Linked DNA regions of Stegostoma tigrinum. The protein of the gene in region 1 interacts with the protein of each later gene in a pairwise test. Links are inferred from orthologs where the notes say so. Each region holds a gene or a part of one and is shown in the gene's direction. Other genes may lie near its edges. The genes, in order: txndc5 and gmppb.

Region 1 (15,795 bases):
TGCTGGCTCAATGAAACAACAATAGTTGCTGAAGCTGCAATTAGTCAAGGGTGTTTCCAGTGATAATCTTGTGCTCAGAATCAAATAGCAAATATTTATGAATGTTCAAACATCTTTAAAGGAGGGTTCAAAGATTAACCACAGTAACAAGATCCCATATAATTTTAAAATTCTCATCTTTGTTTTGAAATACCTCCATGGCCTCACCCCATCCTACTTCATCAACATCCTCCAGATTTATCGGTCCTGAGTGCTATTTTTCGTGGAATGGAATTGAAAAGTAATGCTAAACCTGCATCAAATTTTGATTAGATTAGTTTTAGAATTGTGCATCAATTTTGGTGTCCATGTTATAAAAAGGATATCGAGTTCCTTGAGAGATAGTGTGGAGGTGACTTAACAAAAATGATATCAGAAATGTATGGTATTACATTTATCAGGTTTATAAACTTATTATAATTTGGGAATGTAGCTATAATTGTAGGTTAAATTAAGGTGTTATGTTAGCTGTTTTGAATTTTGCCTGAGTTGTTTGATTGATAATGGTTAAAGGGAAGCTCAGATGGTTTTACTGGGAGGAATGAGCAAGGTATTTACACTTGGTGTCAACAGCAGCAGTCTTTGACTTGACATGAGTACTACTTTGCATCTCCCAGTGGCCGATAAAGGTGTTGAAGTTACCAGGTTATAAATAATTATGCCATAACTGTCCATTGAAAACTTTAAAAATGAAAGTGTTGGGATTAAGAAGAGCTGATGAGCCTTTCTACCTGGACCCAAAGTTAACATGTTTTATGTTGCCACAGCGAAAGAAGGTAGAGGGTGACGTTTTTGAAATCAGGTAGCCATCTTCTGTACAAGTTATTGACCAAAACAGTGAGACAGACGAGTTTCTGTGTGGTTAGCAGAGAGAAGAGGCTGCCTGGTTTTTTGTGCACTACCACTGGGATGGAGATGGTCTCTCGATGAAGAAAAGCATCTTGTTGTCATCTATAGATTCTGGGAGATCTGTCTTGGCATGGCCAGGGGAAGAAGAACTGTCAGAATAGGAATTATTGCTTGTAGTGGATGCAAGAAGTTCTCTGAAGACTGAGGAAAATGCCCAGAGATGGTTCATTAAAGTTACCGCTTGGCAAAAGGGGGTCACAGGAACCAACCAGAAGCTGGGTGAACCTGAGGGCTGTTTCTTCAGAGGTCTGTCATTGTGGGGAGAATGTGATGGATGACAACTGTTGAATGGGAATATTCCCTCCGAATTTAAAATATAATCAACAGTGCTTTTAGACATGTATTACATTAAAAAAATTTAAAAATGTGAAATCTTGCTGCGTCATTCTTTAAGCTAGTAACTGGAATTCAAATCTATTTATAAAAGTTATCGGTCTCTGAGGAATTGGAAACAGTGAGTATATATAAATCAAGAAAGGACTGACAGGCCGGATTTCTTTTCTCTCAGCAAAGGGAAGGCTGAGTTAAGCTAATTGAGGCCAGTAAAATTCTGAACTGTTTTAATAGAGAGTTAGCTCATTTGGCTATACAGCTGGTTTGTGATGCAGAGTGATGCCAGCATAGTGGGCTCAATCCTGCACTGGCTGAGGTTGCTCGGACTGTCCTTCTCAGCCTTACTTATGCCTAAGGTATGGTGACCCTCAGGTTAAACCATCCCCAGTTTCTCTCTCTAATGGAAGAGTAGCCCTATGATTTGGCAAGACTAAGGCAACTTTTTGTTTTATAGAGGAGAATGCTTCTGTTTGAGGAATAACGCATAACTAGAGATCATTAGTTGATTATAGTCACCAAGAAATTCAATAGGAATTTCAGAAGAAACATCTCCAATCAATGAACAGGTCTGAACTAGCCAGTGCAAAGACTGGTTGACGCAAATAGTCAAATCCTTAAGGGAAAACTGAGCAGACATATTAAAGAGAAGGGAATACAGGTCACAGTATAGATTTAGACGATGAAAGATGAGAGGGCACTCAAGTGGAACTCGAACACCAATATGGACAGGTTATAACAAATGTCCTATTTCTGCAATAGACATTGTATATAATCCTATGTCCTTGATTTCTGTGTTCCTCCAACTCTGGCCTTTTGCACATTCTCAAATATCACCATTCTACCATTGGCAACAATGCTTTCAGCTGCTAAGCCCTAAACACTGGAATTGCCTCATTAAACTTTCCCACATCTCTAACTCCCTTGATGTAATTTAGGAATCTGATACCACTTGAATACAAGAAGTCCAGCTCATTGCTCGAACGCACAGTAAAACCTTGTGATCTCAGTCTCTTAAAACCTGATTGAAAGAGCTCTGATTGCAAAGCTGATTGGATCCTAATAACCTCAAAGGCATTCCAAAATTCAGCGCAGCTTTAAATCAGCTCTTCCTTTTTTACCTCTCTACTTATGTTCAATAAGCTTCTTTTTCTTTATTTTTGCTAAAAATTAGTTTGGATTCATGAACTGTTGGAGGACAAGGAGCAGACGTAGGGACTATTATAGAAATAGTTTGTTTTAATACATTCTTGTAGACATCAACCAATGGTAGCATAGGGATAATGTTACCGGAATAATAATCCAAAGATCTGATGAATGGTCTGGCCTGCAAATTCCAACATTGTGGTTGTGAGATATTAATCAATCTGTATTTATAACGCTAGTCTCATTAGTAATAATCATAAAATTACCGGATTGTTTTAAAATCATCTGGTTCATTAAGGTACACCAAGGGAGAAAGCCTGCCTTGCTTACCTATCCTAGCTTCAATGCAACTCCAGATGCACAACAATGTGGTTGACTCTTAGCTTCCCTCAGAAACCACTAGTAAATCATTAATGTGTAACAAACCCCTGCAGAAAAAAAAATTGGAGGTACCTTCACCACATGGACTGTGGCATTTCATAACTGCAGTTCACCACCTTCTTCTCAAAGGTGATTAGGAATGGGCAATAAATACCATTTTTCCACTGATGACGGCATCCCAAGAATGAATTTAAAAAGATGGGATATTGGTGAGCCACTGAAAAACATGTGGTTCTAGAAAAGACATTCCCAGAGTTTTGACCTAGTGACAGTGAAGGTATGGTGATGCAGTTCCAAGTCAGGATGCTGTATGACTATGACGAGAACTTCAGATGGTGGAGTTTTAATGTATCTGCTGTCCTTGTTCTCCTTGCTGATGCAAGTCATGAGCATGTAAGTTCCAAAAAAAACCTTGGTAAGTTTCTGCAGTGCATTTTGTAGATGCTTCTCTCTGTAGCCATTTGCACTGGCAATGGGGGATAGTTAATTTTTAAGCTAGTGTTTGGGGTCCCAGTCAGATAGGTTGCTGTTTCATGGATGGAGTCAAGCTTCTTGAGTGCTGTTGGAGCTACTCTCATGCAGATAAGTGGAAATTTTCCATCACACTCCTGAAAAGTGCCTTGCAGATGATGGACAGGATTCGGAGATTCAGGAGGTGAGTTGCTCACCTCGAATTTCCCAACCTCTGAGTTACACTTGTAGTCACAGAATTTGTGCTAATCTAGTTAAGCTTCGAGCTAATGCTAACCCCCATAATGTTTATGTTGGGGTTTCTGCAATGAACATGCCATTAAATGTTTTGGGAAGATGGTTAGCCTCTCACTTTTTGGAGGTGGGTATTGCCTGGCACTTGTAGGGTACATAAATGACTTGCTGGTAATTTGCCCACATCCAAATGTTTCCCAGGTCTGGGTGCAAAGAAACATGGGCTGTTTCATCATCCGAAGAGGTTTGAAATAAATACTGTGCAATTGTTGCTAACATCTTCTAAAGATGCTGGATGACGAGATTGATGGTGGTCAGGCTGAGGGCACTACCCTGAGGAATTTCAGTGTAAAGCCCTGTGTTAGAGATGCTTGACTTTCAACATCCACAACATCAAGGACAATCACTTTTATCGCATCTTTGGAATCCACCTCAAGGTTAAAATGATATCTGGAAATGAGTGACCACTTCAGACGCCAAAATGAACATTAGTAGACAGCTTGTTGCTGAGTAACTTCTGCTTAGTTTTGCTGTTGGTAATACTTCCAAATGCTTTGCTGATGATTGGGAGTAGCTTAATGGAAGGGTAATAAGCCAAATTAGATTTGGCCTGCTTTTTGTGCCGAATTTTCTACATATTCAGGTAAATGCAAATGTTGCAGCTATCCAGAACAGCTTGGGTACAGGCACAGATAATTCTGTAGCACAAGTCTTCAGAATTATACTTGAGGAGAAATTGGGACCTTTAGCTTTGCCCTATCTGATGTTTCAACTGTTCCTTAATGCTACTTGGAATAAATGAAATTGGCTTTTCATGGTTTCTGTGGTGGCCAAGATGGCTCATTGAATTCAGCACTTCTGGCTAATGATGATGGTAAATAATTCAGTCTTGTTCTTTGCAATGATGTATTGAACTACCCTATAGTTGAGAATTGGGATTTTTCTGAAATGGGTTCTTTGTTTAATTGATGAGTCATCAATTAGGTCTGATCTGAATCGCCTATCTCTGCATGCAGTGTACTTCTTCTGCAGTTTTGCATGTATATTCACCCATATAGCAGTTTAGACCATGTTTGCACCTCATTCCTGGGGGTGTACAGTGCTGCTCCAGTTACACTTCTCGTTAAAAGAAGAGCGGCTCCCAGGCTTGATGGTAATAGTAAAGTGAGTGATATGCCAGGCCATAAGGTTACATATTGTGATTAAATACAATTCTGCAGCCAATGAAGGAGCCCTAGAAATGCTGGAATCAATGGGGATCAGAGCATAAAACCTCTGCTGGTTAGAGTCATACCTAGCACATAGGAAAATAGTATTGGTTGTTGGAGGTCAGTCATCTCAGCTCCAGGATATCTCTGCAGGAGTTCCTCAGGGTAGTGTCCTACACTCAAACATCTTCAGCTGCTTCATCAATGACCATGCCTCCATCATAAGTTCAGAGGCGAGGTTGCTCGCTGATGATTGCACAATGTTTAGCAGCACTTGCAGCTCCTCAGATACTGAAGCAGTCCGTGTTCACACGCAAAACATTCTGGAGAATATCCAGGCTTGGGCTGACAAGTGACATTTACTGTACGCAAATGCCAGGCAATGACCATCTCAATAAGAGATAATCTAATCACTGCCCCTTGACATTCAACAGTGTTACCATCACCGAATCCCGCACTATCAACATCCTTGGGGTTACCACTGATCAGAAACTCATCACTTACACACAGTGGCTACAAGACCTGATCACAGGCTAGGAATACTGAAGTGAGTAACTCACTTCTGAGTCCCCAGAGCTGGTTCACTATCTACAAGGTACAAATCGGGAGTGTGATGGAATACTCCCCACTTGCTTGGATGAGTGCAGCTCCAATAACTCTCGAGGCTTGATGCTAGGCCCGAAACATCAGCTTTTGTGCTCCTAAGATGCTGCTTGGCCTGCTGTGTTCATCCAGCTTCACACTTTGTTAGCCCGCTTGATTGGCACTACTTCCACAAGTATCCACGCTGTCCGCCACTGACACTCAGAAGCAGAAGTGTGTACTACCTAAAAGATGCACTGCAGAAAGTCATCAAAGATCCTTAAACAGCACCTTCTGAACCTACAATCTCTTCTATCTATAAGGACAAGAGCAGCAGATACATTAGAACACCACCATCTTTAATTTACACAAGTACAGTACATGGACTCACTCTGAACCAGACCCTAGAATAAGGAGATTCTCTGAGACTCCTGTTTATAGCCGTCAGCCAGGGGTCCCTGATTGGCCGGGTTAACAACTCCAATCAGGGATCTCACACTCAACAAGATCCATTTGGCTATCCTCATTCCAATCACTACACATCTTTTTAAAACTGGTTTTAAATTAGTAAGCTCATGTTAGGCCTCTGGCTAACTGGTCCAATAACTTTAAAACCATTGCGTCACCATGCCTCATGAATTCTATGCTGCAGAATCTGCTGGAGGGGAACGCATGATGGTGGGAAGAGGGCCTGTACAAATGCAGTGCAATACGAAGACTCATACTCACCCTTCCTGTTTTTGATCTAAACCTATCTTTATCATCTTTCACTCCTGTATCTCTCTTACTTTCCTCTAGATTCCCCTTGAACAGATGTCAGCTCTGGTGCAGTTGGTAGCACTCTTACCTCTGAGTCAGCAGGTTGCAGATTTGAGTTCCACTTGAGAAACTTGAAAACAGGAATCCAAGCTGTCAATCTGGTTCATTACTGAGAAACAGTATTCACAGTGCTGTTTTTTGGATGAGATGTTGCACTGAAACATTTTCGAAATACAAGAGTTCTCACGCAGAGCCCTGACTAGTAGTTACCGTCGAACATACATCACAAAAGATTATGTGGTCATTATTACAGTGCATTTGTAGGACCTGCCTGTGTGCAAACCGGCTGCCACATTTCCCACTTTACAACAGTTTGAGGAATACTTAGTTAACATAAACCTTCATAAGATCTTATTCAATTAATTGAATAATTCAATAATTTGTAATAATAGAGATTATTACAAGCTTTTTAGAAGTGTAATTTATGAAACTCATGTCAAGTCTTCTTGAGTTCTATGGTTTCATCACATTCTGGATAGGCAGTTTCCCCAGTATTCTTTAGTAATGACTATCTTATAGCTATGACCATCATGACTTCAGCAGGAGTGGAAATGCCTCATACACTCCTCTGCCTATTGATAAAATCACAGAATTGGTAAGGCGCAGAAAGATGCCATCCTGCCTTACCAGCTCCTCAAATGAGCATCATTACCTGGTGCCAAGCTTCTACTTTTTACTCCTTGCACACTATTTCTATCCAAATAATCGTCCAATGCCTCCTTGAATGCTTCAACTGAACCTGCTTCCACACACTTCCAGACAGTACATAGTGTAACCCAACTGAAGGGTAAAATCAGCACAGTCCTACTCTCTCATTAGAGAGACAACTGGCGATGGTTTAACCTGAGGGTCACCACCACCCTTCAGGTGAGGGGAGAAGTTGAGAACAACAGTCCTTTGTGGTAATCTCAGCCAGTGATAGAATTGAATCCAAGCTGTTGGTATCACGCTGTATTGCAACCGATCTGTCCATCTAACTGAGCTTAAATCCACAGGGTTTCTCATTCCTTGAACTATTCTTGTAAATTGTTTCTGTGCTCACTCCTATGCGGTCATATCTTCCCTATAACGTTGTGCCCACAACTGTACATAATATTCCAGCTAAGGTCCGTCAATAACTTGACTGAGATCTTTTAAGAGTGACAAAAAAGTTTAATAAAGGTAGAGCAGTGCATGTTGCTTATGTGGACTTCAGCAAGGTGTTTGACAGGATTCCACATGGTAGACTGATGAGCAAGATTAGATCACATGGAATCTAGGGAAAGCTAGCCATTTGGATACAAAATTGGCGTGAGGGCAGGAGATGGAGGGTGGTGGTGGATTTTTTTACACTGGAGGCCTGTGACCAGTGGTGTACTACAAGGATCGGTGCTGGGTCCACTGCTTTTTGCAATTTATATATATGATTTGAATGTGAATATAGGAGGAATGGTTAATAAGTTTGACAATGACACAAAAATTGATGCTGTCATGGACAGTAAGAAGGTTATCTCAGAGTACAATGGAACCTTGATCAGATGGACCAATGGGCCGAGGAGTGGCAGATGGAGTTTAATTTAGATAAATGTGAGGTGCTGCACTTTGGTAAGGCAAATCAGGGCAGGATATTACACTTAATGGTAGGGTTCTAGGGAGTGTTGCTGAACAAAGAGACTTTGGGATACAGATTCATATTTCTTTGAAAGTGGAGCTGTAAGTAGATAGGGTAATGAAGAAAGCCGAAAGAACTGTTGATGCTGTAAATCAGAAACAAAAACAGGCATTTCTGGAAAAGCTCAGCAGGTCTGGTAGCATCTATGGAGAGAAATCAGAGTTAACATTTTGGGTCAACTGACCATTCCTCAGTTCTGAGGAGAGGTCACTCGTCCTGAAACATTAACTCTAATTTCTCACTAAAGATACTACTGGACCTGCTGAGCTTTCCCAGCAATTTCTGTTTGCGTCACGAAGAAGGCATTTGGTATGCTTGCCTTTAATGGTGTCCATGCATTGAGTATACAAGTTGGGATGTCATGTTGCAGCAGAACATTGGTTAGGCCACTTTTGGAGTACAGTGTTCAGTGCTTTATGAATGATGCTGTTAAGCTAGAAAGGGTTCAGAAATGATTTGCAAGGATGTTACTAGGGTTGGATTGTTTGCAGTACTGGGAAATATAGAATAGGCTGGGGCTATTTTCCCCAGAGCGTTGGTGGCTGAGGGGTGGCTTTATAGAAGTTTATAAAATCATGAGGAGGCTTAGGTAGGGTGAATAGCCAAAGTCTTTTCCCCAGGGTCGCAGAGTCCAAAACTGTAGGGAATAGGTTTAAGGTTAGAAGGAAAAGATTTAAAAGGGACCAAAGACAACTGTTTCACACAGAGGGTGGTGTGTGTATGGAATGATCTGCCAGAGGAAGTGACAGAGAATGATATGATTACATTTTAAAGGCATCTTGGTGGGTACTTGAATAGGAAGGGTTTAGAGGGAAATGGGCCAAATGCTGGAAAATGGGGAAATATAAATTTAGGATATTTGGTCAACATGGACCAGTTGGACGGAAGGGTCTGTTTCCATGCTGCACGGCTCCAAGACTGTATTCTTGTTTCCTTCTCCAAAGTGTTTTTTCACTTTCCTTTAAACCTTTTGCATTCTCTTTGTTCCTCAATTGTATTTTCTGCCTTTCACCTCTCGTAAACACAAATTTTCTTTCTAATGTTAGTTTCTACCTACTTTGTAATCCAGGCAACTCTGGATTAATTTCTCTCATCCTTCCCATTTGCAGGAACATGGAAGTGCCCAAATAACTTTCTCTTTGAAGGTAGTTCTGTATTCATTTCCGGCTTTTCTGCCAGTCAATTCTGATCTTGTCCCATTGAAGTCAGCTCTCCCACAGTTGATTTGTCTTGCTGTGGATCGTTGCACGTCATTTTCCACTATCATCCTGAACTTTATAACACAAACATCATTCTCTCCTCACATGTCCTGTACATATAGTCGTCCAGGGTTCCAATGTGTCCATGGCTTCCTACATGTTACAGATCACATTTTCCACTCGAAGCGAGCTGTCAAGTCTACGTATATAAAGACATAAAGATCCGGCCCGAGACGGGAGGGGAGAAACTGTTCCCTTGGTGGAAGGATCAAGAACCACACGGATTCAGACCTTTGACAAAAGAAGGATCAGAAACATGGGGAAAAACTTATTTGCACATAGTGAAGGCTCGGATATGGAATGCATGGTCTGAAATGTGGTGGAGACAGACCCAATCTTGGCTTTCAAAACACATTTGGATCATTATTCTATGAGCAAATAAATTACACAGCTACGTGTGGAAAGGCGGGGGAGTGAGACTAGTTGAGTTACTGTTGCAGAGAATCAGCAGAGACACGACGGGCTGAACGAGCTCCTTCTGTTCTGTGACCACGTACACATTCATCCACATTGCATTCAAAGTTTGATTCAGCCGCATCCTGAGTACTGCAGCGTAACCTTCCCGCAAGCTCTCCTCACTGTAACTTGCCAGCCGTGAAATGCTGACGAAGAGACACCACGCTAGCTGCATAATATCGTGTGACCCTCCCACTGGAAACGAGGAGGCTTTGATTGACAGTTCAGGCGGAGCAAATAAATGTGTGTGTTTGAACGCTGCCTTACCCTGTGAACTGGCGTGAAGCTGTGGTAAAGCAGGCAGCCTTTCTCCATTGAGCCTGCCTGCATTTGGTTCAGTTTGCGGCTGCTGTAGTGCAGTGACACCACGTAGACTTTCCCGGACAGAGAAGCAGAGGCGCTGACTTCTGATTTCCCAGCTTTTGGATTTTGTTGCTGTTTGTTTGTGTATGTGTGTGTGCGCGCATTTGGTTGAATGAGTGATGGCCTTCTCCAGTTACCTGTCCATCTTACCCCTGCTGGTCTCTCTGCTCCTGGGCAGCCTGCGCTTCTCTTTACAGGAGCAGGAGGACGATCACAGCAAACACCTTTACACCGCCGAGCTCTTTAGCCACGCCGTGCAGACCGCTCCTCACTTCATCATGTTCTTTGCACCTTGGTAAAGTTTGCCATCTCTTTTTTTTGATCATTATTGATTGCATTCAGATGCCTTTAGGGGAGGATTGACTGATTTTTTTGTTATTGCATATACTCGGATTTTTGCAGTTTTGCTTTGTTTTGGAAATTGCGGAAACAAAACTTTGTAGGCGAAAGAGAAGTTAGAGACTTTCCATTGGGTGGAATAGTGAAAGTTGAGTGGGAGTTTAAAATTATCAGCCGCAGTTCCTCCAGAAAAGTTGTGGGGGGGGGGAGGCGTGGGAAGTGGACAAGAGGGTAGTTTGAGATCATATACGTGTTACTGTTTACAGTATTCACTTCAGTCAGTATTTGCCCCTGTGTTCCATTGTAATTCCCAACGTGTTGTTATGGGAGCTGTGTACGTGGCAGCAAAGGATGGGAGATCACATTACGTAACAATCTTTTACAAAAGCGGTTTGCTCTTTGGGGCGAGGTGCTTTTGTTAACAAATGCAAAAGGAAGTCGTGGTATCTTAAACGTTTACATTGCAAACCTCCAGCGTTTGCTTAGTTGCAAACATGAATGGGATTTGCAACTACGTGACCGCGCCTCCCCACCCCGGCTCCTCATTGTACTTTGACATTCTCTGTACTTCCTTTCCCTGTACTTCCTTGTTGAATGTATGTCTGGTGAGGGCATCCCCTCACACTGAGACAGGTGCCTCATGACCTCAACTTATTCCTTCACCAACGTTTGATGGTTAATCTGTCAGCAGGCCCTGTGTTACATTGGTTGCTGACTCTGATGCGGTGCAGAATCAATTTTTGATTAATAGCTTAAATATATGTCTTTCAGGCACCATTTCTTTTGAGTTGCCATCCATGTCAGATGCATATTTAGGCATGACTGAGTTTACAAAAATGTGTTTTTCTAAGTGGATTTTTTCATACAGTGCTGTGCGATCTGCTTTTAAAATCCTGAAATATTTGTTATAGTACTTCAGTTTGCCTTCCATTTGATTCTGTTTGAAAAGAGTGGATTATCTGTCAACTCTTTCTAAAAGGCAATTAATGTTTGACCAAGTGTTAGTTTAAAAACTGTAATTGATAGGTGTCTGTTAATCAAATATTAAGGGAAGCCGGGCAAAGACAAGTATATAGAGTTAGTTAGGTAGAGAACAACTTGGAGGGTTGCATGATATCCTGTTCCAATATTCCTGTGTCCACCTTCCCATAACACACTTTTTAGTGGATTTCTAGCTGACTACTTCTAATAACTGCAAGATTTAAATTCAAATGCACTCGACTTTCTGAAGTAGATTTATACCATGGATGGACTGCCCCATAGGATGAACACACATTACTTAAGAACAACATGCAGTTGATATCGGATCAGTGAATATAGTAGGCATGGGGACCTTGTATCCAGGACTGTTGATCTATTTGAATTTAAGTCTGTAACTGATACCGAGATTGTTGAGAACATGTTGGTAACTTCAGAGATATCGTACGTGTTCATTTTTCCAGGCACACAAACAATATGCAACATGTCTACATGTATTGTATGGAAATGTTCAACCATGTGTACAAAGATCATTTGTCTTGAAAGATTAATGTCAGATATGTAACTCTCAACTGTTAACTTATAGGTTAAGATGTTTATCATGCAGCATATGATCCCCAGTGATTGTGGAACATTCAAGTTTTAAGTTGGACTATTAATTGGATTATTAATTTCCTTTTGAATTGGAAAATGCACATCCAACATTGAGTGGAGAGCCAGCTGAATCCGGCTGGATAGGGACGGGTGAATGGAGAAAGCATACTGAGGTGCATACTTTATTTGATGTCTATCACAAAGAGTACCTCAATAGTACCACTTCTGACTGAACTAACTTAGACTAGGATGGCAGGTGAAGACAGAACCAGCATGAGTGGAAAAGCTTAGTTGACCTTGCAGTTAACAATCTGCCTCTCATAGATGAAAATGACACATGGTATTGGTGGGGGTGATCACTACACAATGTATGCCGAGACTATCTTCCTTATTCACACTGACAATGACTCTTGATGAGTTGTGTGACATTACTGCCACGTTAAGTGGGATAGATTAGAGCAGATCTAACATCTCAAATTACGGCATTTATGATATGGGTAGTCAGCAAAGAATTGCATTCAGCCACAACCTGTAAACTCAGGTCAGCACATCCCTCACTCTACTACTATTGACCAGCCAAGCATCAAGCTGATTCGATAAAGAGAACATGCCAAAAGCAGCACATAAAATTAGTTGTCACCCTGCTAATGCTATTGCACAGAACTACGTACAGCTAAACAGTGGAAGTAACATTTTGAAGTGACCCAGTAACCAATAGGTTAAATGGAAGCTCTTCATTCTTCCACAACCAGTAACAAATGATGGTAGACAATTAAGCAACCAGTTTGAGGAGGACGCTGTGTGAATGGCCTCATTCTCAACATGCATCTTTGTAGTTAGTGCTCACTGGTGCTACTGAGCATTCAGGGATTGAATGTTTGTGGACGTGATGCCAATCAAGCAAGCTGCTTTGTTCTAGATGGTGCAAAGCTTCTTGATTTGTTACTGGAGCTGCACTCATCCAGGCAAATGTGAGTATTCCATCACACTACTGACTTGTGCCTTTTAGATGGTGGACAGACTGTAGGGAGTTCGGAGGTGAGTTACTCACTCCAGGATTCCGAGCCTCTGACCTGCTGTTGTAGTCACAGTATTTATATGGTTAATCCCAAGAAAAAACACTTAGCTCGCGTGTGTAAATGACTCAACTGCATTCACAGCCAGATTTGTTGAGTCAGTGATCTATCGCTGTCATCTCCTGAGGTTCCTTTCATCGTAGATATTGGTCCTCAGGAAATTTGATGTCCCCTTGTGTCTCTGGGACTAGGTACAGTCATGCTGAACCATTAAGAAATTCGATTAAATTCTGTTTTTCTTTCATCAGCACAGTGCATGAGGAAAAATCTATCATAATTTAGAGATGCTTCTGTACAGGTAGTACAAGCTTTGGATTCTAATCAGTTTTCATGCCATTCATTCTACACTTCTACTAAATATATGCTATCTATTCTTAACAGGTGTGGGCATTGTCAGAGACTTCAGTCCACATGGAATGAACTAGGGGACAAATACAACAGCATGGAAAACACTCCAGCAAATGTGGCTAAAGTTGACTGCACCAAAGATACACAGACCTGTTCAGATCAAGGAGTCCGTGGATATCCTACGTAAGTGGTGTGCTTTGAAAAGGTGATGTTTCACTGAAAGTGTTTTTAAACATCATGCAGGCCTGGAAAGGATGAGTCACCCTTAAGTGATTGCCAGTCATCTGTACTGTCTGAAGATGTAAGCAGTTTGAGATTTCTTCATTTTGGGCGCTTGATTTTGATTTAAAGGGGTGATGGAATAATCTTGTTTGATATTCTGGAGATTTTAGTTTAATTTGATTCAGTGAGCAGCGGATAATATGAAGTTCATTATTACACAACTTTATTTCTGCATTTCGTTCCCAACAACACTTGTAAAAATAATAAAACCAAATGATCAAACCAGTAAAATGTGATCTCAAGTACATTAATGCAGTGTTCTCTACAAGTAACAATTGATTGCAATCGTCAGTAGGTTTGGGAAGATGGCATTCAGTGTAATTTGGAAATGTATTTTAGTAATTATGTTTCCATGACGGGGGTGGGTGGCAGTGGTAATGTCACTGGACTAGAAGTCTAGAGCCCCAGGCTACTGATCAGGGGCATGCATTCAAATCCCTTCATGGCAGATGGTGAAACTTGAATGCACTAAGATGTTTGCATTGAATTGCTAGTCCAATGCTGACCATGTAACCGCTGTCAATTGTTGTAAAAAATGATATGATTTAATGTACTTTAGGGAAGGAAGTGTGCCATGCTTACCTGGTCTGGTCCCAATGGGTCTCCAGTGCCACAGCAACATGGCTGCCTCTTACCTACCCTCTGGGCCTTACACTCATCCTCTAACTAAGTACAATAAGAGACACATCTTTGTTATAATAGTGAGTTCCAACTAATCAACTGTATTTAAAGCATAACTTTATTCATGCCTATGTCTCACTCACTTCGACCAATGCTTTCAAAAACAATGATCACTTGGTCACTGTAAATCATGTTTTTTGGCCTTCTAATCTTGCAAGATGCTTTCAGCAGAAAACGTTCAATTTGTTTTTAATTAAACAGCATTTTGAATCTAATGTTATATCTGTAATGCATTTTCTGTGTGGGCTAATTGTCTCACTTTTGGATTTTCCTTTTAGACTGAAGTTGTTCAGACCCGACCAGGAAGCAGTGAAATATCAGGGACCCCGTGACCTGCAGTCACTGGAAACGTGGATGCTTCAGACCCTGAATGCTGAACCTGCTGTAAGTCTTCAGAAAGTCATTGTAATCTCAAACTTGGGAATGTTTTAGAACCAAGACTGTTGCTGAGAAATCTACATAGCAATTTCTGTTTCTGTTTCATTTTTGTTACTTGCCATTTGTAACCAAATGGTTACATAGCTTTTGTTTTTATGCAAAACTTGCAAACTGACAAACTTCCAGCTGTATTCACAACGTACTTTCACCAAGCAAGCTGCTTTTTGCACCATAAGTAACAACTTCTTCAGGTGGTTCTGCAGAGAAATGCGTACAAGTTATAAATGAAACTCATAGCAGGTTTGTATTGATGTGCAAAAACAACTCAACCTGGCATTTTCATTCATTTTCCATTCATACTGCATAGAGAGAGTATTTTGCATTGCTTATCCTGAGAAATTTAAGGAAAAACACTCATGGACTCTACTGTGGTGAAGACCAATTTGTAGTTTAAACCTGATGGGCCGAGAGGCCTCCTGTATGTATCTCTAGGAATGTACAAAGTAGAACTGGTAGCTTTTGAATACTCCAAAGAGATTTTCAATTATAAATAAAAACAAAGTTATCATGGCCACACAGTATGTATAGTGAGAGAGAGAGAGATTTAACATTATTGCTATATGACCTTCCATCAGAATTGAGGAAAGTTAGAGATTTGATGGGCTCTGAATAAGTGAAGAAGGGGAGGGGAAAGATCAAAAAGGAAGCTCTGAGTTGGTGTGGAGGACAGAGTACCTTCAACGAAACGTTGCATGTCAAAAGAAGCCAGAGAATGATAATGAGACAAGATTATACACAAAAGATGTGCCTAAGTGAATGAAAGGATAACAGCCACCTGAATGTGAAGTGAGGGGATTAAGAAGGAAACAAGAGAAACAAAACTGGCAGAAAGACATGAAACAAAATGGCGTAAAGGTTATGGTCTAAAATATTATGTTCAGTGTTTTGAAGTTGAACGTTGAGGCACAGCTCCGTGAGCTTGTGTGAACCTTCAGTGGAGCAATGCGGCAGGCCAAGGCTGGGGGTAAAGTAGAGGTTTGAAGTGACAGCTGAAACTCAGGGTTACACTTGCAGTTTGAACAGAGGCATTCAGTAAAACAGTCACTCTGCTTATTTGGTCTTGCCAATTTAGGGAATTTGGCTGGTCATAGGACACTGTTTTTCTGTCTGTCATTATATTTTTAGTTTTACTTTTGACTCTACCACAGAATAGCCTACAGGTTTATAGTATTGTAACCTCTGCAAACTATTTAACCAAAGTGCACATTTTA
Region 2 (15,348 bases), on another chromosome or scaffold:
AGAGTTGCGTGTGAGATAACTCTGTTTTCTGAATCTGTCTTTTAGAGCATAGAACAGTACAGTACAGCACAGCCCCTTCAGCCCATGATGTGCTGACCTATTATCCCACTCTAAGATCAAACTACCCTGCATTCCCTATATTTTACTATAATACACGTACCTATCCGAGAGTCGCTTCAATGTCCCTAATGTATCTGACAAAGGGTATGTTTATGGGATGGTACCATACTGGAACTGTTACTGTTCAATAGTAAAATAATGTGTTACTCTGTTAAGTCTTCCGATAGAGCTAAGTTATTCCAAGTTCCTATTTCCTTTAATGTATTTTAACTATAGATTAGAATCCCTACAGTGTGGAAACAGGCCCTTCGGCCCAACAAGTCCACACCGCCCCTTGAAGCATCCCACCCAGACCCATCCCCGTATAACCTTCACACCCCTGAACACTATGGACAATTTAGCATGGCCGATCCACCTGGCATACACATCTTTGGACTGTGGGAGGAAACCGAAGCACCCGGAGAAAACCCATGCAGACACAGGGAGAATGTGCAAACACCACAAAGACAGTCGCCCGAGGCTGGAATTGAACCCAGGTCCCTGGCGCTGTGAGGCTGCAGTACTAACCACTGAGCCACCGTGCTGCTATAATTTTTGAATAAATTGTATTTTGCTTAATGTCAAGTAGTTTGATCAATTGAATTGCATCTGGAACTCGGCACATTACATTTGCCTTTAAAATAAGAAACGTTTGGGGTATAGATTGCTTTCATAATATATTTTGAAGGGGTTTGGTCTAATCTGGTCAGGTCCATAATGACTTCCATGCCCTGAAGAATGTACTGCTGACTATGAGGCAGTAAATGGGCTATTTTAAGTGTATATCAGTTAGTATTAGAGACATATTGACAAAAATTCTGTAGCTTCAAGAAATGGCCTGATCAGACATGCATAGAATATGGACTGCTTTCGAAGCTCACACACTCCTTTGTGTGGTAATTCTCTTTGAGTAGTTTAAAAAAAAACTCTGTATCCTTTCCTTAAATCAGGAACAGACGGTAGTAGGTTATGAACAGACACTAATTCTGGCTGATGAGTTAACATGCAAGGCCATGAACTCAGGAAATATGGGGTCCGTCACAGATCTAGAAGGTGCTAATTGACTGGAAATAGCCCAATAACTATTAAAAAGAAGGCCAGTAAGAATCAGGAAAGGTGACAAAGGATAACATGCCAATACCAGAGACCTGTTTAACAGGCATTAAAGTAAAAGAGCTCTCAGATCATACCAGGAGAAAGTGAGGGTGAAGTCCCATTTAGCGCAAGAGGGCCAAGGGAGTATTGCACAAGTTGAACATCCATCAGATAGCAATAGTGTACCAGGGAAAGTAGAACAGATAGGGGGAAATATCAGTCCCAGAACAAAGAGAAAAGAGAAGGGAATGTAGCGCAGAGCCAACTCTGCTGGTGCAGGTCACCAGGGCGATATCAATAAATTCAACACATAGCTACCCAATGGGAGATCTAAGGAAGAGAATCCAGTCTCAAATCTCAACCAGTAAAATTGGATTGATGTGAAGTTAAATGAAAGTAAATTAATAAATTCCGGGCATTCCATAGGAGGCAGATTACCACCTACCAATCCCTGAAAATCGAATGTATAAAAATACCTGAATTCTGGTCCATGGATTATAAAAATGGACAATGAAGGGTGAAAACTTGGGAATGTCAAACGGCCCAGTAAACAAATCCGACTGCTTTTACCGAAACAGGTTTGGAACCCAGGTTAGGATAAAGAATTGAAAGTGGAATATGTTCTAGTGTGTGTGTTGTCATCCAAAATTTTTGTATTGCTCTTGCACATCAACAAAATATTCACTGTAAACAAATTGGAGATATTGTTCTTGTTGTGGAGAGATCGTAGTGAAAATGGACGATCAATATTCTGAGAATCCCTGCATTGCAGGAAGAGAGCATTCAGCCTATTGATTGTATGCTAGCCATCTGAAGAGCACCCCACCCAATCCCTGTATTTAATATAGCTGATCCAACTAATATGCCCACTATGGGGCAACTTAGCATGGCCAATCCACCTAAACTGCATGTGCTTGGACTGTGGGAGGAAACTGGAGGACCCAGGGGAATCCATGCAGACACAGGGAGAATCTACAACTCCGCACAGATAGTCACCCAAGGAGAGAATTGAACCTGGGTCCCTGGTGCTGGGAGGTAACAGCGCTAACCATTGAGCCACTGTGCCACCCCAACTCCGATTATCAGACTTTAATAAAAGGAATCAGAAACGTTTGCAGACTAAAACTGATTTTAAATCAGGACACTACTCACTTGCTGTGACCATTTGATAAGCTTGGGGATCCCACATGGAACATACAAAACTGCGTATGTCTGAATTATTATTATATTTAAGAAATATTGAAGCTCATAGATGTGTCAAAAATTTGCATCTTTGTCTTTATTCACACTTATACATAACTGCACACATTGGAAATGAAAGTCTACCAGGTAGTGTTCAGTTCACAAAAACAATGGAGCTAGACTTGAAATATACAAATAAACCATATTTTTGTGTTTTACTTTGAGCTATTAAGCAGAAAGAAAGTAGATGGTTTGAACACAGCAAGGATAGTGGAAGCTCCTAAATAAAATCCGAAAGAACTACAGATGCTGTAAATCAGGAACAAAAACAAAGTTGCTGGAAAACTCAGCAGGTCTGGCAGCATCTGTGAAGAAAACATGAGAGTTCATGTTTCCGGTCTGGTGAACCTTCCTCAGAAGGGACTGGAAGGTCCTGCCTCTCTTTCTATCAATGTCATTCCAGCATTGGTGAAAAGAGCAAACTGGGGGAAAAGGAAACACAGTGAATGAAAAGTTGGAGATCTGCAAGCTTTATCATTCCTGAGGAAACAGGAAGGCATTTAAATAGCTGTGAATCAGTTTTCGCTCTTGCAACTCAGAAGAATCTAATAAACTGTAAACTGCAACTGCCTTTAATTTCCAGTCAGTAGCAAATACCTATCTTTCAGACTCTTTGTAAGTTCATTACCTACGGCTTGTGTGAATGTGGTTGTCACATTTTATTGTTTTTCTTGGGTCCCTCTCCTTCACTCCAGCAAACGTGGAATTGGCACCCCCCACTCTGTCCTTCTGATGTGGTTAATTGCGTTTGACTGAAGTGTGGTAACTACATGGTTAAAAATAAGTATTTAACAAATTGTTGTGACTGACCAAGTAGTGGTTAGAAAGGAGGGGAGCTGTGAATATTTTCAGCTCGTTGTGATACAGCTAATTCTTTAATGCTGGACCTCCTGCACATATCATGTTCTCTCTGGCAGGCTCAGAATTGACGATGATTGTCTTCCACCCCGGAGTCGTGAGTCCTGAGATGCTACTGGTGGGCACTGAAGCAGGAGGGCGGGCTGTTCGGGCTTTGGCACACTCCCAACACTCTTGTGCTCACCCTCCATGTTAGCCTGTTGGAGATGGTTAGCTCCTTTGCAAATTCTTCATCTCCAAATTGGGATAGAGGTTCCTGCACATTTATGGGATATTGCGTTTTTCCTGGGATCATTTGATGACGTCGTTGAGTCTTTTCCTCTGCCCCCCTGTTGCCCAGTTACCGTGACGAAGCCCAGAGTACAGAGTTCATTGTGAGAGTCTTATGTCAGGCATGTGGATGAGCTGGCTCTGCTCAGTGCCAACCGATTGACTGTACGCAGTGTCTTGGTATTGGGGATGTTAGCCTGAGAGAGGACACTGATAACGGAGCATCTGTTCAGCCAGGGCATTTGTATGATATCGTGGAGGCATTTTTGGTGATATTTCCCCACAGATTTGCTGTACACTGTCCATGTCTCCACCACGTACAGGAGGCAGGGAACACTGCTGCTGTGTAGACCATGGGCTTGGTGCCTGGTTTCAGGTCTTTGTCATCAAACACTCAGCTCCTCAGATGGACAAAGGCTGGGCTGGGCAGGTTGGGTGAATTTCTACAGTGTACCTTAAGTGTGTAAAGTGCACCTTATGGTGTGTAGATAGTACACACTGATGCTACTGAGCTTCAATGGTGGAGGGAGTGGATGCTTGTGGATTTGGTGTCAATCAAGTGAATTGCTTTGTTTGGATGGTGTTGAGATTCTTGAGTTTTCTCTGACAGCTATCACATATAGCACAGCCTGAACACAGGTTTTTTTATAAGGTGCAGTTCTGAAGGCTGTCCTCTCAGCTTTGGCTGTACATCCAGAGGAAGTCTATACATCAGAGGTTTGGTCATTTATGGAAGGTGCTAATTTGAGGCAAACCCTGACTGCTGATGGGACTGTGTTCCTGATTTTACATTTGTGGTCATTTAAATTGATCTTGTTAGGATGATTCCATATTATGAAAGTTGGAGTACTTTAAATCCAATCCTCTTTTTAGAACTTTCTGGACACCATTTAAAATAAAACCATCTTTGTCACCCACATTTCATGTGTAGCAAACAACATCTTGTGTCCGCGAAAATTCCTATCACTATCACGATCAACTATCAGGGTAATTGCAGTGGTGATAATGGGAACTGCAGATGCTGGAGAATCCAAGATAATAAAGTGTGAAGCTGAATGAACACAGCAGGCCAAGCAGCATCTCAGGAGCACAAAAGCTGATGTTTCAGGCCTAGACCCTTCATCAGAGAGGGGGATGGGGTGGGGTGAATAAATAGGGAAAGAGGGGGAGGCGGACCGAAGATGGAGAGGAAAGAAGACAGGTGGAGAGTATAGGTGGGGAGGTAGGGAGGGGATAGGTCAGTCCAGGGAAGACGGACAGGTCAAGGAGGTGGGATGAGGCGGTAGGTAGGAAATGGAGGTGCAGCTTGGGGTGGGAGGAAGGGATGGGTGAGAGGAGGAACAGGTTAGGGAGGCAAAGACAGGCTGGACTGGTTTAGGGATGCAGTGGGGGGGCAGGGGAAGAGCTGGGCTGGTTATGTGGTGCAGTGGGGGGAGGGGACGAACTGGGCTGGTTTTGGGATGCGGTGGGGGAAGGGGAGATTTTGAAGCTGGTGAAGTCCACATTGATACCATTGGGCTGCAGGGTTCCCAAGCGGAATGTGAGTTGCTGTTCCTGCAACCTTCAGGTATCATCATTGTGGCACTGCAGGAGGCCCATGATGGACATGTCATCTAAAGAATGGGAGGGGGGAGTTAAAATGGTTCGCGACTGGGAGGTGCAGTTGTTTATTGCAAACCGAGTGGAGGTATTCTGCAAAGCAGTCCCCAAGCCTCCGCTTGGTTTCCCCAATGTAGAGGAAGCCACACCGGGTACAATGGATACAGTATACCACATTGGCAGATGTGCAGGTGAACATCTGCTTAATATGGAAAGTCATCTTGGGGCCTGGGATAAGGTTGAGGGAGGAGGTGTGGGGGCAAGTGTAGCATTTCCTGCAGTTGCAGGGGAAGGTGCCAGGTGTGGTGGGGTTGGAGGGCAGTGTGGAGCGAACAAGGGAGTCACGGAGAGAGTCTCCGGAAAGCAGACAAGGGTGGGGATGGAAAAATGTCTTGGGTGGTGGGGTCGGATTGTAGATGGCGGAAGTGTGAGAGGATGATGCGTTGTATCCAGAGGTTGGTGGGGTGGTGTGTGAGAATGAGGGGGATCCTCTTGGGGCGGTTGTGGTGGGGGTGGGGTGTAAAGGATGTGATGCAGGAAATGCGGGAGGCGCGGTTAAGGGTGTTCTCGACCACTGTGGGAGGAAAGTTGCGGTCCTTGAAGAACTCGGACATCTGGGATGTGCGGGAGTGGAATTCCTCATTGTGGGAGCAGATGCGGCAGAGGAATTGGGAATAGGGGATTGAATTTTTGCAGGAGGGTGGGTGGGAGGAGGTGTATTCTAGGTAGCTGTAGGAGTCGGTGGGCTGGAAATGGACATCAGTTATAAGCTGGTTGCCTGAGATGGAGACTGAGAGGTCCAGGAAGGTGAGGGATGTGCTGGAGATGGCCCAGGTGAACTGAAGGTTGGGGTGGAAGGTGTTGGTGAAGTGAATGAACTGTTCGAGCTCCTCTGGGGAGCAAGGGGCGGCGCCGATACAGTCATCAATGTAACGGAGGAAGAGGTGGGGTTTGGGGCCTGTGTAGGTGCGGAACAGGGACTGTTCCACGTAACCTACAAAGAGGCAGGCATAGCTGGGGCCCATGCGGGTGCCCATGACCACCACCTTTGTGTGTAGGAAGTGGGAGGAATCGAAAGAGAAGTTGTTGAGGGTGAGGACGAGTTCGGCTAGGCGGATGAGGGTGTCAGTGGAGGGGGACTGGTCGGGCCTGCGGGACAGGAAGAAGCGGAGGAACTTGAGGCCATCTGCATGCGGAATACAGGTGTATAGGGACTGGACATCCATGGTGAAAATGAGGTGTTGGGGGCCAGGGAATTGGAAGTTCTGGAGGAGGTGGAGAGAGTGGGTGGTGTCACGGACGTAGTTAGGGAGTTCCTGGACCAAAGGGGAGAAAAGGGGACACCTTCTCCCACCCACCCTCCTGCAAAAATTCCATCCCCTATTCCCAATTCCTCCACCTCCGCCGCATCTGCTCCCACGATGAGGCATTCCACTCCCGCACATCCCAGATGTCCAAGTTCTTCAAGGACCGCAACATTCCCCCCCACAGTGATCGAGAACGCCCTTGACCACGTCTCCCGCATTTCCCGCAACACATCCCTCACACCCCGCCCCCGCCACAACCGCCCAGAGAGGATCCCCCTAGTTCTCACACACCACCCCACCAACCTCCGGATACAACACATCATCCTCCAACACTTCCACCATCTACAATCCGACCCCACCACCCAAGACATTTTTCCATCCCCTACCTTGCCCGCTTTCCGGAGAGACCACTCTCTCCATGACTCCCTTGTTCGCTCCACACTGCCCTCCAACCCCACCACACCCAGCACCTTCCACTGCAACCACAGGAAATGCTACACTCGCCCCCACACCTCCTCCTCACCCCTATCCCAGGCCCCAAGATGACTTTCCACATTAAGCAGAGGTTCACCTGCACATCTGCCAATGTGGTATACTGCATCCACTGTACCCGGTGTGGCTTCCTCTACATTGGGGAAACCAAGCGGAGGCTTGCGGACCACTTTGCAGAACACCTCCGCTCAGTTCACAATAAACAACTGCACCTCCCAGTCGCAAACCATTTCCACTCCCCCTCCCATTCTCTAGATGACATGTCCATCATGGGCCTCCTGCAGTGCCACAATGATGCCACCCGAAGGTTGCAGGAACAGCAACTCATATTCCGCTTGGGAACCCTGCAGCCCAATGGTATCAATGTGGACTTCACAAGCTTCAAAATCTCCCCTTCCCCCACCGCATCCCAAAACCAGCCCAGTTCATCTCCTCCCCCCACTGCACCACACAACCAGCCCAAATCATCCCCTCCCCCCCCTGCATCCCAAAACCAGTCCAACCTGTCTCTGCCTCCCTGACCTGTTCTTCCTCTCACCCATCCCCTCCTCCCACCTCAAGCCGCACCTCCATCTCCTACCTACCAACCTCATCCCACCTCCTTGACCTGTCCATCTTCCCTGGGCTGACCTATCCCCTCCCTACCTATACTCTCTCCACCTATCTTCTTTTCTCTCCATCTTCGGTCCGCCTCCCCCTCTCTCCCTATTTATTCCAGTTCCCCCACCCCATCCCCGTCTGTGATCGAGGGTCTAGGCCCGAAACGTCAGCTTTTGTGCTCCTGAGATGCTGCTTGGCCTGCTGTGTTCATCCAGCTTCACACTTCAGGGTAATTGTAGTAATCACTCCAGCCCACTTCACCCCCTCAGGGCGCTCTCCCCCAAGACGCTGCTTCCTGGTCCATCTTATGCACGCGTTTCGTTGTTGGCGTTGCCCTGACCCCGATTCCGATTGGTCAAAGCTGTCCCACCTCCCCTCCTTCATTAACCAATCGATGGAAGACGGATCCTCTCGGAACACTTTCCCCTCCCCTCTCCCGCATTGGCCGGGCGCTGACCTTACCTCCCCCTATTCCCGCCCCCCATTGGCCGGGCCGCCAGCGGCCCTTTCGCCATTGGCTGTTGCCCCGTTACGGCGCGGCGGCAGTGCCACGTCGTTCGATGCCGGAGGTGAGGGTCCGGGGAGCAGAGAAGTAAGTCCGGAGGAGAGCCTGGGATGGAGAGAGGTGGGGAAATAGGGTCCCGAGGGCGAGGGTGACAAACAGTTTGGGAGGGTCGGATGCAGATCCCGGGTTGTGGGGGTGTGGAGGAGGTGGGGGTGTGGAGGAGGTGGGGGTGTGGAGGAGGTGGGGGTGTGGAGGAGGTGGGGGTGTGGAGGAGGGGGGGGTGGGATGGAGGGAGGGAGAGGATGAGGTCTCCTCAGGGGACAGGAGATGACTGAGGGTCTCTGTGATTAGAGTGAGTGAGTGTAGGGGGTGTGACAGAAATGGGCAGCTCCAGTGAGTGGAGGGCACCACATTAGCTGGTCCTGAGAATAGTCCAGCCTGTACCTGTGTGGCTGTGACCAGGTTTGAGCTGAGTAAAGGTCCCACCTGGCTCAGGCACTAGTCAGCGAGGGAGGGGATCCTGAATCGGGGACCAAGCGGCAGAGTCTGCACGTTTCTGTCCCGCCCCGCTCCGGTTAATGGGACCTGTGGTTTGCCGATTCAGAGACACGGCGGTTGGGTGTCAGCGCTGTACATTTCAGTCGGTGCCCATTTCAGGTTTTTGTCTTCGAGGACCAGCAAATCAACTTTATAAAATAGCCAGTGCCATTTCTGAAGAAGGGTCCTGACCCGAAACGTCAGCTTTTCGGCTCCTCCGACGCTGCCTGGCCTGCTGTGTTCCTTCAGCTCCACACTGTTGTCTCTGACTCCAGCATCGGCAGTTCTTCCTGTTTCTGCCTCAGTTACTGGTGTGACTTGAATAAAGTTTGTTTCAGGACTGCACTTCTGCAGGAAAAAAAAACCTGATTGCAGGGTTTCAAACATGTTATGTTAATTCTGGGTCTCGATTTTTTGGAGAGGAAAGGACGTTGAAGATTGCAGAGCAAATGTGTGTTTCTAGAGTAAGGGTTGATGATGAAAGATTTGATGGAAAGAGGAAGGCACTGCCAACCTCAACAAAGGTGGGGCCCGGGAGTGGAATTGCTTTTGTGGGAATAGGTTCAAAGGTGCATTCATTCCACCCTTGACTCAGCTTCAGTCTCATTTGTACAGCGTGATTGTCACCTTCCTGCCATTGCTGGAAAATTGCAGCATCTTGAGGTTCTATTCTTGCATGTTTTCCTCTAGATTGTTGAGTGAGAGCTCCCATTTCATGTCTTCACAGCTGACAATGAAAGCGTTGATTCTGGTTGGAGGTTACGGCACGCGGTTACGGCCGCTGACACTCAGTGTTCCAAAACCGCTGGTGGACTTCTGCAACAAGCCCATTCTTCTACACCAAGTGGAAGCCTTAGTAAAGGTACAGTCAGCCCCTGCCAGAGATGGTTACAATCAGGATATCAGAGAGAGGAGCGCATGTATACCAAGACCGGAACTTGACGATGCAGTGGTAATGTTCTGGCAGCATGTGATAATGGATGGCTGTGTGTAAGGACTAGACAGTGCATCCTCACAGATGCCTCCCACTGCCACTTCATTGTATTTTTCTATTGCACAAACTTTTAAAATTGTACAGAGATCATACTGTATATAATCATTTCTTTTATATTAGTGCTGAAATATTTTGAGGAATATTGTGGATAAGCCAAAACAATTTAATGTTGCAGTTTTCCCTTTCAACTGCATCAGCGTTAGTGCAAGAGATTTGTGACTGCTCATTAATATTGAGTTGACATTTACTTCAACAGCTTAATTGTGGCATGTAGTCAGCACTATGTCAGCCTCCTCTAACATCTAAGTTGGGAAGGGCTGAATATCAAATTGCACTGTTTCTAAACAGGTCAACATGTAGATTCGATTTTTTTTCCCTCCCTCATTGTTTTCTTCAGAATTTCAACTGAAATCTAACAGTATGCAGACTGTTGTAACAATAGCTGTAGGTCCTTATTGGGAATGTAGAATAAATCAGTCTAAAAATGCAGACTATAGACAGGTTCTTGTGCCTCTCTTTTCCCACATCTATTATCTGTTTTGAGCAGGCTGGTGTATCCCATGTAATCCTTGCTGTCAGCTACATGTCGGAGATGTTGGAGAAGGAGATGAAGGAGCAGGAGCAGCGGGTAAGTGGGAAAAGGCTACGGTAGCGGATGGAAATGTTTCCTGCACACTGATTTTCTGTGATTGTGCTAGACATGGTGAAAGCAGAGATTTGTATTGAACTGTGCAGCATGCAACCTGATTGATCCCAGCAGTGTTTTTCCCCTCTTGCTGTGTAATTGTGTTTTGGGATGTTGAATCATACAGGTTGGAGAGGATGATAGGATAAACAAGTGAGAATGTTGATTTGACCCTTGTATGGTTAAGACCATTCAGCTTTTCTCAGCACCATGAGGACAGAGCTCCAGCAGCTCCTGCTGAGTGCTGAACACCCATTGAGCTTAAGGAGCCTCATTCCTATGTGGCCTCTCTACTTTCTACCCTCTGAAAAATTGGAAGATCATTTCAAACTGCAGCCTGTACTTTATGTCATAGCTGGTCTCATTCCCCCGGACCCATGCTCTTTGCAACCCTCTGGAACTGGGCTTGAGCTCATCCCTGGCTGTCTGAGAGGGAAAGGTACTGCCAGCAGAGCCAGGCCTGCCACATCCAGGTGCAGGTAGGTCAACTCCAGGCCCAGCTTGCTGCCTTGAGCATCCACCTCTTTCTCTTTCTGCCTACCTTGCACAAATGCCTGCCTGACTGATGAGCATCTGGTAGACAGGGTAGTAAAGGTGTTCAGCATGCCTACCTTCACTGCTTAGACCTGTGAGTATAGGAGTTGGGATGTCATGTTCAAGGTGTACAGGATATTGGTGAGGCCTATTCTGGAGTACTGTGTGCAGTTCCAGTCTCCCTGTTATAGGAAGGATATTACTGAATTGGAGAGGGTTCAGAAGAGATTTATCAGATGTTGCTGGGTGGAAGGTTTGAGTTATAAGGAAAGGCTAGATAGGCTGGGACTTTTCTCACTGCGGTGTAGGAGGTTGGTGATCTTATAGACGTCTTTAAAATCATGATGGGCATAAATAAGGTGAATTGCAGGGTTTTTCACCCATGGTAGGGGAGTTTCAAAACTAGGGGCATATTTTTAACTGAGGAACAAGTTTTAAAAAGGACATGAGCAACATGTGTGTGTGGAATGAACTGCCAGAGGACGTGGTGGATGCGGATAGAGTTACATTTAAAAGACATTTGGATGAGTGCATGGATAGGAAAGGTTTGAAGGCCAAACGCAGGCAAGAGGAACTATTTTAGTTTGGGAACGTGGTAAGGATGGACTAGTTTGACTGAAGGGTCTGTTTCCATGCTGTATGATTCTATGAAACAATAGGAACAGTAACTGTAATTGTGTATTCTTTACTAACCAGCCATCTTGTGTTATTTCCTTTAGCTGGGTATCCGGATCTCTCTCTCTCATGAAAAGGAGCCCTTGGGAACAGGTGAGAAACTTGGCCACATTGATATACTGATGACAGTGAAACCCTCGTGCTCCCCTTTCTGATCTTCCCCACTCTGCCCTTAAGGGGACTTCACTTCAGTTATTCATTTTTGTCCCTAATGGAATCCTGGCTTCTCCCTTCTGCACTGTAGATTTACAAAAAACTTTATTTCCCTTAAATTTCATTAATTTCTGTCCCTGAATCCCATCCAAAATGGAATAATAGAGCATCTGATGAGGGCAGCAGTTTAGTGAAATAAAAGGACAGGAGATGGTTATTAAACTCCTTCTCTCTTTTCCGGCGTTAAGTCGTTGATGATCTGCACTGAGGTGAATTTATCTGTCTCTACTCCATATATCTTCGTACCTTTACTGTCATACTTCATATGTTCCTAGCTATTTCCATCTTAAGCAGTCTATTTGCAAGAAGAGTCTTGACCCGAAACATCACCTTTCCTGTTCCTCTGATCATGCCTGGCCTGCTGTGTTTCTTCAGCGCCACACTGTGTTATCTCTGACTCCAGCATTGGTAGTTCTTCCTATCTCTGACTACTGAGTTAGCTTTTTTTTTAAAAAAATGATACAATAACCCTGAAGAAGGAATCCGTGCAGGGCAGAGAAGGTGCTTCCACATAGAGTATGTGTCCGTGGATGCTGATTGTGGATCTTGCTAGGTCAGGAGCACCTGGCTGTCTTGTAGCTTTTATGACTCTTGTGTGTTGCCTTTTGCAGCTGGACCCCTCGCTCTGGCCCGTGAGCTGATCACCAGCAGCTCGGAGCCCTTCTTTGTCCTCAACAGTGACGTTATCTGTGAGTTCCCCTTTGAAGAGATGGTCCGCTTTCACAAGCATCATGGAAAGGAGGGTACTATTGTGGTGAGTTGTGCCCAGGTGGATGCTCTGGGGACTTGGATTCAACACCTCCCACTACAGCCAGTGCAGTTCCCATGGATAAAACCTGGAATTCACAGTCAGTTTCAGAGAGGATGATCACGAAACTACGATTGGTTCATTAACATCCTTTAGGGAAAGAAATCTGCCTACGTGTGCCTTCAGAACCACAGCAAAGTGGTTCATTCTTGACTGTCCTCTGCAATGGCCTAGCAAACCACTCAGTTGGCATTTGGGGGGGGGAGAGACAGATCCCAAATACTAGCCGTGCCAACAAGATCCATGCCCGATGAAATAATTTTTTGTTTTAAAATGGTATTGCATGTTAAAACTGCTGTAGTGACCAATGTAATCAGTAAACTTCACCTCCTGTGCGCTGCACCAGTTCACATTGCAAAGTTACAGCTGTAACAGCAAACTCTGGCCTCAAGCATTGTATGTAAGGAATTATTCCTCAGGCAGGAATGAGGTGCTGGGAATATCTGCCTATTTCCTGGGAACGATGGACAGTACTGGGGAGAGTCTTCTGACTGTTCCAGCAACTGGACAATGTCTCGAGGGAGACCCAAAAGGAAACGTGTTTGTGGAAATTGCTCCCTGACCTTGTCCCTGCCACTTTAGCTTATCAATGTCCCTCTGACTGTCTTTTAATAAATCCGTCTCATTGACAGGTCACTCGGGTGGAGGAACCATCCAAATACGGGGTTGTGATCTATGAAGCAGAAATTGGGCGAATACATCGATTTGTGGAAAAGCCTCAAGTGTTTGTGTCAAACAAGATCAATGCAGGAATGTACATCTTCAGCCCAATGGTTCTGAACAGGATCCAGGTGCGTTTCCCTTGACGTGAAGCGGCTATATTTGGTCTGTACTCTATTCAGCAAGTGATGAAGGAGATCTTTGGATCCCAGTGGTAAAGATCCTCAGTGTTTCCGTGAACTTGGTATAAAACATGGCCCTACTACCCTGTAGCCTGCACAAACCTCAAAGTGAAGGCTATTTAACGCAGGCAAATGAAGTGCTAAACTCTGTTTGATTAGATTCCACTGCACTGTCCCCATCCACGCCCCAGGATGGCAACACCATGAGGTTAGCTACAGAGTAAAGCCCACTCTACGCTGTCCCCCAGCAAACAGTCCCCGGACAGGAACGGCACAGGGTTAGATACAGAGGAAATCTCCCTCTGCACTGTCCTCATCAAACACTCCCAGGACAGGGAAAGCTCATGGTTGGATACAGCTGTCATTGAATCGAGCTGCATCTGCAGAATTTGAAGGTGCTAAACTTCTATTCTAGCATTCATTAATCCTGCACTGATGAGGAGTTAACTTCATTTTCTGTTGGATTGTTAAGGCTGCCCATTTCTGCAAGTGGAAATAATCTATTCCTCTCTTGCCTCTATTTATCTTTTCCTGGGTCACACCCTATAATCTTGACTTCCTTTATTCGGTTTTGATATGAGTGGTACTAGATGGACCAGTGCTTGTTGCCGATCACTAATTTATACTCGAGAAGCTGGTGAACCACTGTCCTGAAACAGTGCATCACTACTCAAACGCAACCTTGAATAGCCCCTGGTCTGCGCACACGCACGCGCACACACACTCCTACTGTTACTTAGTGGTTCCAATCACATCTCTGCCTAAACACAGACGTTTGACATATCCTGTATAAATATCCTGTATTTATATCCTATATAAAGTAATGCCTCCTGTGGCCGAACTTGGAACAAGTCCTGATTGCACACTGCCTCTAAGCTCACAGACGCACCTCCCATGTCTGTAATTCCCTCCAAGATAACTCTGGCATCTTGTCCATCTCCCTGATTTTAGTTGTTCCGTTTGGCAACTCTGCCTTTTGTTGCCTGGGATGCAAGCTCCAGAATTCCCTGTCAACATTCTCTGCCTTTCCTTGAAGACATCTGAAATCCTTGATCAAAGCTTTTGATCATTGCCCTAGCTTGGCATTTTTTACTCGCTCATTCTGTCAAGGCAGGTTATTGTTGTTGATTTCATCCAGTTATTGTTGACTTAATCCCAGAGGTTCACACGAGCTAGAATTGTGGCTGACTCAGATGATTTTCATAAATTGCAAACTTATTAATATATCTATTAACTCGTAAATGCGGTATGTCAGTGATTTAAATCGGAGACTTCATTCTGGCAGGCGGTTTCCAGTAGAGAGTTTTCTCTTGGATCAACCAGACTGGTTGGAGCTAGGGCTTTGGTTAGCTTAGTTGGCTGTACGGTGGTTTGTGATGACAGGTTACCAAGTGTGAAGGATTTTCCTTCTCAACCCCTCCCCTCACCTGAGGTATGGTGAGCCTCAGGTTAAACCACCCCCAGGCGTTTCTTTTAAAGAGAAAGCAGTCCTGTAGTTCGGTAATTAACAGTAAAATTGCTATCTGTTCTGGTCACTTGGTGACAATCAAGTACATTTTGAGACTGTGACACGCCCTCTTCTAATTCCCCTTCTGGTTACAAGTGTTTGGGTACATGTCTTGGCAGTGTAACAAACTGATCCCTGTACCCTGTCAGGATTCAGATCATGCCTGCACTGTCCTTAAATCTAAGAGAGAAAATTGACCCCAAAGCTCTTGTTGCTGTTTGCTGGCCAGGGTTTACATAACTTGGGCATGATGCTCCCTACCGTTAAATACAGTCAACTGTTTGGGACCAAAGCTGACAAATAGTTAAGAGTCTGAAGGTCAAGAAAGCTTCCAGTGCTGTGCCTGAGTAAGTGGCGTCCTTTCCTGGAAGAGAGATGTAAAATAACAATCCCACACCCAAAATAGTTTATATTTTTCTCTGCCAACTTGCAGATAGCTTATATAATGAACATGCTAGTTAACAGAAGGGTAAGGTATCAATGAGT

What was found.
Region 2: the proteins of txndc5 (region 1) and gmppb interact in a two-hybrid assay, tested with the Homo sapiens proteins (2 studies listed by BioGRID and IntAct). The two-hybrid records come from large-scale screens. The link is inferred for Stegostoma tigrinum from reciprocal best matches to the Homo sapiens genes TXNDC5 and GMPPB.

What each region holds. Positions count from the first base shown.
Region 1 is NC_081358.1:46,141,593-46,157,387, forward strand, and holds the start of txndc5 (thioredoxin domain-containing protein 5), read left to right. Parts: upstream 1-9,742; 5' UTR 9,743-9,967; coding exon 9,968-10,143; intron 10,144-13,216; coding exon 13,217-13,366; intron 13,367-14,424; coding exon 14,425-14,530; intron 14,531-15,795. UniProt on the Homo sapiens protein: Protein disulfide isomerase of the endoplasmic reticulum lumen involved in the formation of disulfide bonds in proteins. Can reduce insulin disulfide bonds.
Region 2 is NC_081364.1:65,534,805-65,550,152, forward strand, and holds the start of gmppb (mannose-1-phosphate guanyltransferase beta), read left to right. Parts: upstream 1-8,065; 5' UTR 8,066-8,154; exon of another isoform or gene 8,155-8,187; intron 8,188-9,331; 5' UTR 9,332-9,337; coding exon 9,338-9,466; intron 9,467-10,145; coding exon 10,146-10,226; intron 10,227-11,536; coding exon 11,537-11,585; intron 11,586-12,316; coding exon 12,317-12,459; intron 12,460-13,145; coding exon 13,146-13,304; intron 13,305-15,348. UniProt on the Homo sapiens protein: Catalytic subunit of the GMPPA-GMPPB mannose-1-phosphate guanylyltransferase complex. Catalyzes the formation of GDP-mannose, an essential precursor of glycan moieties of glycoproteins and glycolipids. Can catalyze the reverse reaction in vitro.